Caenorhabditis elegans: one gene and its partner. The protein of the gene in region 1 interacts with the protein of each later gene in a pairwise test. Each region holds a gene or a part of one and is shown on either strand. Other genes may lie near its edges. The genes, in order: snb-1 and nefr-1.

Region 1 (3,499 bases):
GTTTCGAAATTTAGCGATACGCAAACATGAAACACTATAACGTTTTTGAATTTTGTTCAAATTAGTTTTTGAAAATTTTTCGGAATTACTCTCGATTGTAAGATACCAAATCAACTATATGTAGAATCCGTTAGGTTCTACGCGCAATTATCCCAATTAGGGCTGTACAAATCAGCGTCCGGCCGTCTGATTTTGACACCACCGGACGCACTGCGTCCGGTTTTGGGGTAGGTTTCCACGGCGGCCGACAATTTCCGAGTTTCGCCACTCACTATACTTAATCAGCAATTTTATAGTGAGTCGCGAAACTCGGAAATTGTCGGCCGTCGTGGATAGCTACCCCCAACCGGACGCATGTGCGTCCGGTTCGGACGACCGGACGTCCGGTTGTACAGCCCTAATCCCAATAAACCTGTATTCCTGTGTTTGAGTTTAGTATAATCGCTTCGTTTACTTATTTTTTTCAAAACTATTCTCGGTAAATACTACCTCCCTAATTGTGTTTTTGTCTGTACACAATACAACAGACATTCAATTTCCTATCTAGCCATCCCCCAATCTTCCCTGTTCTGTTTTCTGTCTGTGTCTTTTTTGTTGTCAGCTGATATGATGGACTGAGTCAGCACTTTTTTAATATTGTTTTTTTTTCTGAATTTCGTAACTTTATCTTGGTTTTTCCGACATTGTTGCCCATAGTTATTCTTGCATTCTCCAACAACACAGAATGATGAATCGCTGCCACATTTTTTTGACAAATTTATTGTTCAGTTCGGGTATCTCAGCAACCATGACGTGTGTTCAAGTATTTCATTTTTTCTCCCTTTCTAGGAAAATTCAAGTTGAATTTTTATTCATTTTGAAACTTCCTCTCATCTCTCGAAGATATGCCTCGGGCTTCAAATTCGTAGTCCACCCGTTGCACGTAACCTGCTGAAAACTTCCTTGTATTCAGTTCTCTCGTTTCGTTTTGTCTGCAAAAGAATTTAGCTCCATTTGTGTGAAATCGAGCAAAATCATGCGGCTAGAGAAAATAAGAAAAAAAAACGAAAGAGAACTGGAGCGTGTGCATGGGACATTCTCCTTTCTTCGCCTTATTCTTCGTCTCCCATTATTAGTTTCGCCTCCCACAATTCTGGCTGCAAAGCAATAAAAAGTGGCTTCGTTATTTGTCTGGAATGCGTCCCACTGTATGTGTTGTCTTCTATTTAATACAAGTTATAACCTCCACTCGCTTTTTTTTTTATTTTTTGACTGCCTCTTGGTAAAAACGTAATCATACAACAGCAGTGAAAACCAGTTTTTTGAAAACCGTCCCGTCATTTTTTTTCTATTTATCATTTCAATTTATTTATTAATCGATGATTGAAAGTGAATGGATGACGGTCATGACCGATTATCGATTATCCCGAAATAGAGATGCGCGTAGGTCATAATGCCCAGTACGCAAAATGTTTTATCGGTGTTTGCACAGATTTCGCAACATCTCTCATTGAATTTCCATTCATCGCTTCGTCATCTGACCCCATTTCTTATTTTTTCATCCTTTTCCCTGTTCTCATCGTTCCTTACTATTTTCCTAATTTCAGAACATCGCGATTTTATAATTTCGTTAAATATTCGTAATCCCGTTATACAAAAATAGCTAAATTTTCTAGTCGTTCTCGTTTTTGAGAGGGCACTTTAGTCCGTCATCGTGTCGCTTGTCGTGCTCAATTTTTCATGCATAAATGGGCGTCGCCGTCCCCCCTGTCGTTTTCTTCCTTTACCTCACTTTCCAGTTCTGAATTCCGATACGAATTTTTAAATTTTTCTAACTCGCTTCATTTCAGGGAACAGCCGGATAAGACCATCTTGACGACATGGACGCTCAAGGAGATGCCGGCGCACAGGGAGGAAGTCAGGGCGGACCACGACCATCCAACAAACGTCTCCAGCAGACACAAGCTCAGGTTGATGAAGTCGTCGGAATCATGAAGGTAAGATTTTGAAATGTGCAATTAAAATAACAAAAATCGCAATTTTTGAAATGATCCCATTTACAATTTATAAGCGTGTTAAATTAATCTTAATTCCCCTTTTTGCAATAAAATCACGAAAAATAGTTTTCAGGTGAACGTGGAAAAAGTTTTGGAGCGTGATCAGAAGTTGTCTCAACTGGACGACCGAGCTGACGCTCTCCAGGAAGGTGCTTCACAATTTGAGAAATCTGCGGCCACCCTGAAGCGCAAGTATTGGTGGAAGAACATCAAAATGATGATCATCATGTGCGCTATCGTCGTCATTCTTATTATCATCATCGTTTTATGGGCTGGAGGAAAATAAGTACACGACCTTTGTCCCGGATAAAAAAATCCCCCGAAACGCTGTAATTTCTTTCCCCCAAACTTCTTCCCTTCACATTTTGCCCATTTTCATCTGTTTTCATTTTCTAAAACATAGAAGCTGAGTATTCTATTCTTATTTTGAACTTCTTCTCTTCATTGTACTATAGTTGAATTATACGTTTCCCCCCACATCCCCATCCAATCTGTCAATTTTCTTAATATTCTTTTTCTGGTTGATCGCAAATCATCCATTTCTGAAATTAATTTATTTAGGCGGCGCGATAAGCTGCGTGATCCCACATCCACATGAGCTTATCCGCGGATTCCGTCGAGCTCGTGTGTGTATGTTTTTCTAGAATTTTCCTATTCTCAGACTAACAACATGCCTTCTCATTCCCCCCGGAAATTTACCCATTAGATGCGAATAAAATGGTGTTGAAAACTCAAAACTGTCAAAATTTTTGAATGGATTGAATGATTGTTGTGTAGATATTCAGATTTAGATACTTGAAAAAAAAACAATTGTTGTTTAAATTTAGTGGGCCTGGTCTTTTCAGAATGACGATATTTCAACCTCCATTTATCGATCGATCACAACAGTTCAAAGAACTTGCCACATCAATCGAGCAAAAGCACATTAGACGGCACAATAAGCCACCGGGTGAGGAAGAATTTGGATAGAATATTTAATAAAAAACGTTAAATATCGGATACTTCAAGTTTTTTGACACATCAACAAATCAGAAAAAAAATTCTGCAAAAATACCATTTAAGATTTTTTATGGAATATCCTTTAACAAACTTTTCAGATAAACTCGTTTTTGCCATAAAACTTTGAAGCGAAATTATTTTGATGATTTAATTCTAATTTTTATAGTTCTAAAAACATTCCAAAAATGAATAATTTCAAATTTCAGGAGACTACCGTCGTGATGAAAATCGTCCATCTCCAGCATTCACCAACATTTCGAACGTGGCTCTTTCGTTTGGCGCTGAAATGTATCTCTTCCGTAAAATGCTCGCAGATCACTCACAGGACTACATTTTCGCCAGTCGTGCCTATTCTAAAATGAGCCCGATGGAACGAGAGAGCTTTGATGAAGATGTGAAAGATGTTCGCCTGAATTTTTAAGATATCTATCATTTTACATTCGATATTCAGAAACTTACTCAGT
Region 2 (4,953 bases), on another chromosome or scaffold:
AATCACGAGTTTGGGCGGTGGTGACGTTGACGAGAGCACACTCCCGACGCATCTCAAAGTGCCAAGCGATTGTACTGCCAATGTGCACTGAAAATGTAGAAATTGTGTTTGAAATTATATATTTTTTTTTTCAACAATTTATACCATAATAATTGCTATCTTCTTGATGCCCGTCTAGAAATGGCCAAATTGATGCATTAACCGAGTTGTCGAATTGAGAGCTGGCGAGGCCAGGAATTCGATTACGCACAAGTGAATCACTTTTTAATGCTGCTTCTTGAATATGGGACACACGATCCGGGAACTGAAATAATTATAAAATATATTTTAGAACACAAAACCATCGCTTCATACCTCACACTCCCTGAGTGCGGATCCAACGGGAACATTGCTCAACGTTGAGCACAACCAAGAGACATAAGAAGCCAACTCGTATCTCGAAAATGAGCGAGTAGGATCCGATTTGACTTTATCGCGAAGCTTCATCAGCTTTTCGAGCATTTCCACGCGATACTCTGACTTTTTCAGGTAGTTCATCGCGAATTCGGTAGCCGAGAACATGTCTTTCGAGCTTTTATCCATTTTCCACGTCTTCAGCTTCTTCTCAATTAGCTCGGTCTCGCCGAGAAACATCAACCATCGAAGAGCAGCTTCCTTGGCCAGAGTGTCGTCTGATAGGTCGATGTAGTCGAGCAGGCACACGACTGCTCTGCACAGTTCTCCGTTGTAAAAGTAGAAAAAGCAGAGTTTCGCGGGAATACTCGCGAAAATCTCTCGATCTTTGCTCCGACACTCCATCGCCTCCTTTCGTAGAGTTTGCCACGTGATGAACATTTTGCATGCGGTTCGTTGATACTTCGCAAGTCCTTGAAAGTATTCGGACGAGGCGTAGTATGAGGTGATTCGAGCCAATTTGCTCAGCGAGTTCATGTCAATCGGTCCATTGACGCCGAATTCGGCGATAAAAAGCTCGGAAATCTCCTGTTGCAACTCGGCAGTTTGTTCGGCAAACCCGATCACCGTGCAGCTCACATTTTTGCGTAGCTCATCTAGTTTTTCGATGTGCTGCTTGTCAACTGACTTGTTTGTGATCTTCATGAAAGTTTATCTAGAAAAATTAAAATTAAACTGTTTTAATGGAATTAACATTATTACATACATAAAAAGCAAGTTTTTTGATTGATTTTCATTAAAAATCGAGGAAAAATTGAAAATGAAAGGGTTTCAACGCACGTTATCTTCTAAAAAATTTAAAAAATTTTCTTCTAGATGATACGCTTCACATACGCGACGCGTAACATTGGAGCAACGTTGTCACTTTTTCTTAAAAATCTCTTATAAGAGTTGGCACGGTGCCAGATCCGGAATTCCACCAGATCTTGAATTAAAATAAGTTTTTTTGCAAGTTTTAGCAAGTTGAAGCAAGTTTTTTTATTGATTTTCACCGGAAATCGAGGAAAATTGAAAATGAAACGATTTTCGAGGCAAAAATAAAAAATTTCCCTCCGATTTTGAAGTCCGTGAATGCGCGTGCGGTGCAACTGCGTACAAAACACCAAACTTTACGACAGTGCGGTAAATTCTACTTTTCAAAGTTTGAGCCCCAAAATTCGTTTAATTTTTGTTTAAAACTTTTCTTGTTTATTGAATTATTTACATTTTTTCAGTCGACATGCCGCGTATCAAGCAAGCGCCGACAAAGAGACACTCGTTTAAGCGAATGGAATCGAGAGAAGCCGACGAGGTTCTTAATAACGATCCAAAAAATGAATTTAGAAAAAAAAACCAACAACTTTTTTCCAGAGTTTTCTCGACGAGGAAGAAATCGAACGAATAAAGGAGGAACTTCAACGAGTGCAAAACGAGAAAAAGAAGCACATTCAGAGAATGCAAGCTCGACTCGAACAAAGTAGGCATTTTCCTGAATTTTTTCCCCTCACAAAAAACATTTATTGTCATTAAAGTAGTGAGAATTCTTCGGGAGAATGATTTCAAGTCGCATCAGAAGGGAATTTTGACTTCGGTGAAGTTTCGAGGAGCAATTGCCGGATATACGACGAATTGAAGCTCGTCTCCTGTAAAATAGAGATTTTTGATTGAACAGACTCAAAATGTGCTCAAATTAACAAATTTCGTTCATTTTAGCCCATTTCGAGGTTATAAACATGAAATTCTCACTTGGCAACGCCTTCTTCGAGTTGTATTCCATTTGATCGCATTCAATGGCAGTTTCCATGTCGATTGAATCTCCCGTAACAGCTGAAAAGCAAGTATAAATGTCAATTTCTGTCGGGAAAAAAATCCACTCACAATTTCCCGCTTTCGCCGGAGTCCCATACTGCGAGTTTTCGTTAACCTCCGAACGACTGCTAGCCATATCTTTTGCACTGATCAACTTGTTGCCCTTATCCACATTCAACGTATCCTGCTGCTGTTCACCGGAACTGTTATCCTTCACCTTCTTCTGCTCATCAACCTCTCCAGCAACTTCCGACTCGGCTTTCGCTGACTTTGCTGGAATCGCAGTTTTCATCGAATCGGCAGACAACTCATTCTCCTTATTTTCCTTTTCCTTTTTCTCCTTCTCTTCCTTCTCTTTTTCCTCTTTCTCAGCTTTTGCCATTCTTTCCATCTCGTCGTCTTCCCATTCATATGGATCCAGAAAGTTGATCTTCAGTCTGGTGATAGCCGCCATCAGCTGAAAAATTTCTTAATTGTTAATCGGATTCTATTTCGAGAAAAACGCTACCAGATTATAAATCTTCTCATAGTTCGGGCGATCTGCGTAGCTCAGAGTTCTCAGGTACTCGAAGATTGATTTGAGCTCGTCGGGGAGATCCTGTAAATGTGCAAAATGTTCAAAATGCCGAAAAATGCATTTTCTTGTGAGTACCATTTTTGATGGTTCATTCCGGGTTTCACGTCTCATTTTGCTTTGATCTACGAAAAATGCGGGAGAAGAGACGCAGACATCTCAACTGATTTCGCAGGGTTGCTGACGTCACATTTTTCTGGGAACAATTCCCGCATTTTTTGTAGATCAAAGAGACTTTCTGACACCATGTGGCGTTTCGGAAATTCGAATTTCCCCTGTTTTCAAAAATCCACACCTCAAACAGTGCAAGGTCCTTTGTCGACTTCTTCATTGACATAATTTCCTTTTCATCCTTCAAATTCGACCAGGGAAGCCCGAGAGTCAGATACACGATGCTGTAGATCATTGCCACGAGATCATCACATCGTCCTTGCTCCTTCCGCTCGTGGACATTCATCGAACAATATCGAATCGTTCCTCTCAACGGAATGCGTCTTCTCATCGGGCGAAGCTTCTTCTTGCCATCGTCACCAGCCATCACAAATGTCCGAGCCATCCCGAAATCGATGAGTAACATGACTCGAGCATCTCTTCCCTTGTTGGCCGCGGTCATTATGTTCCCCGGCTTGACGTCTCGATGCACATATCCAGCTTCATGTAGTTGCTTCAAGCCGTACAACGTGAACACTGCGACACGCATGGCCGTGGCGTCGTTGAAGCCTCGCTGAATCTTCATGCGAAGTGCCATCAAATCCTTTCCGCAGAGGGTGGTCACCATGTATCTAGAAAATTCGAGTTTTCGCACAATTCTACGCTTCCTCACTGCAACTTTTTCCCCACGAGGGACGAGGAAATGCGGTTTCTAGGCCATCACGTGGTGCCAGACTGTCTCAATACAGTTTGATCTATGAAAAATGCGGGAATTTTTCCCAGAAAAAAGTGTGACGTCAGAACGCTCTAAACCATGCGGAATCAGATGAGATCTCTGCGTCTCACCTCCCGCATTTTTTGGAGATCAAAGCAAAATAGGACTTTCTGACTACACGTGGGCCGAGGATCCGACAAGATTTAGTGGCAAGCTATCTTACTTTGTTTTCCGCGTGACTTTTTTTGTTTTTCACAGATTTTTCCCGTTTTTTCTTTCATATTGAAACTGATAAATAAATATTTTTGCAAGTGCGAAAGCAATTTAAAAGTGAATACACAATTTTTCACTTGGAAATTGTTTTAGCATCTGCAAAAAAATTTATTTATCAGTTTCAATATGAAAAAACGGGGAAAAATCTGTGAAAAACAAAAAAAGTCACGCGGAAAACAAAGTAAGATAGCTTGCCACTAAATCTTGTCGGATCCTCGGCCCACGTGTAGTCAGAAAGTCCTATTTTGCTTTGATCTCCAAAAAATGCGGGAGGTGAGACTCAGAGATCTCATCTGATTCCGCATGGTTTAGAGCGTTCTGACATCACAATTTTTCTGGGAAACAATTCCCGCATTTTTTGAAGATCAAACTGTATTAAGACAGTCTGGCACCACGTGATGATGGCCTAGAAACCGCATTCCTCGTCCCTCGTTCAAAGAAAAGTGCTGTGCTCCTGCTAACCTGTAAAGCTTCCTCTTCCCATAGTCGATAAGCTTCAGGACATCTCGTGAATCCGTCAACTTGCTCAGCACATTCACCTCGAGTTGCAGTGTTCGATCGAATTCTTCCGAGTCGTACTCGACCTTCATCGCTGCACAATACCCTTTACGGTTCTTGTCCTCCACCTTGTACACGACACCGCACGCACCTTTGCCCAAAAGTGCTTTAATTCTCCATTTGTCGATTATCTGAATAGAAATGGAATGATTTTTGCAATTGAATTGGATAATATAACTTACATGTCCTGGACGCATAACTTTAGATGCCGACGACGATGTAGACTTATCACTATTAGTCATATTGATTTGAATCACCGAAAGTAAAACTTTGAAACTTAGGAATAACTGATTTTTGAATTTATTCAGCCTTTTATACACTTTCTTTTTTTATTTTCGTGAAAGAAAAAACACGAGTTTTAAATTAGTTTTTTAGTTACACGTTTTATAATTTTTTGAAAATTTTTGGCTAAATTCTCTTGTTTGAATTTCCTCCGAATTTC

What was found.
Region 2: the proteins of snb-1 (region 1) and nefr-1 interact in a protein complementation assay, tested with the Caenorhabditis elegans proteins (one study listed by BioGRID).

Annotation. Positions count from the first base shown.
Region 1 is NC_003283.11:6,654,832-6,658,330, reverse strand, and holds snb-1 (Synaptobrevin-1), read left to right. Parts: upstream 1-1,829; 5' UTR 1,830-1,859; coding exon 1,860-1,976; intron 1,977-2,109; coding exon 2,110-2,322; 3' UTR 2,323-2,769; downstream 2,770-3,499. Other genes in the region: syx-18 (t-SNARE coiled-coil homology domain-containing protein), read left to right, coding at 2,883-2,985, 3,242-3,438, 3,487-3,499. UniProt on the Caenorhabditis elegans protein: Involved in the targeting and/or fusion of transport vesicles to their target membrane. Acts in neuronal exocytosis of synaptic transmission. Likely to have a role in cholinergic transmisson.
Region 2 is NC_003279.8:3,437,436-3,442,388, forward strand, and holds the start of nefr-1 (Protein kinase domain-containing protein), read left to right. Parts: upstream 1-1,663; 5' UTR 1,664-1,672; coding exon 1,673-1,744; intron 1,745-1,803; coding exon 1,804-1,909; intron 1,910-1,928; exon of another isoform or gene 1,929-2,001; coding exon of another isoform or gene 2,002-2,075; intron 2,076-2,178; coding exon of another isoform or gene 2,179-2,259; intron 2,260-2,310; coding exon of another isoform or gene 2,311-2,698; intron 2,699-2,749; coding exon of another isoform or gene 2,750-2,839; intron 2,840-3,110; coding exon of another isoform or gene 3,111-3,597; intron 3,598-4,415; coding exon of another isoform or gene 4,416-4,642; intron 4,643-4,693; coding exon of another isoform or gene 4,694-4,753; exon of another isoform or gene 4,754-4,787; intron 4,788-4,953. Other genes in the region: Separin homolog sep-1, read right to left, coding at 1-87, 145-304, 355-1,098; Y47G6A.13 (non-specific serine/threonine protein kinase), read right to left, coding at 2,002-2,075, 2,179-2,259, 2,311-2,698, 2,750-2,839, 3,111-3,597, 4,416-4,642, 4,694-4,753.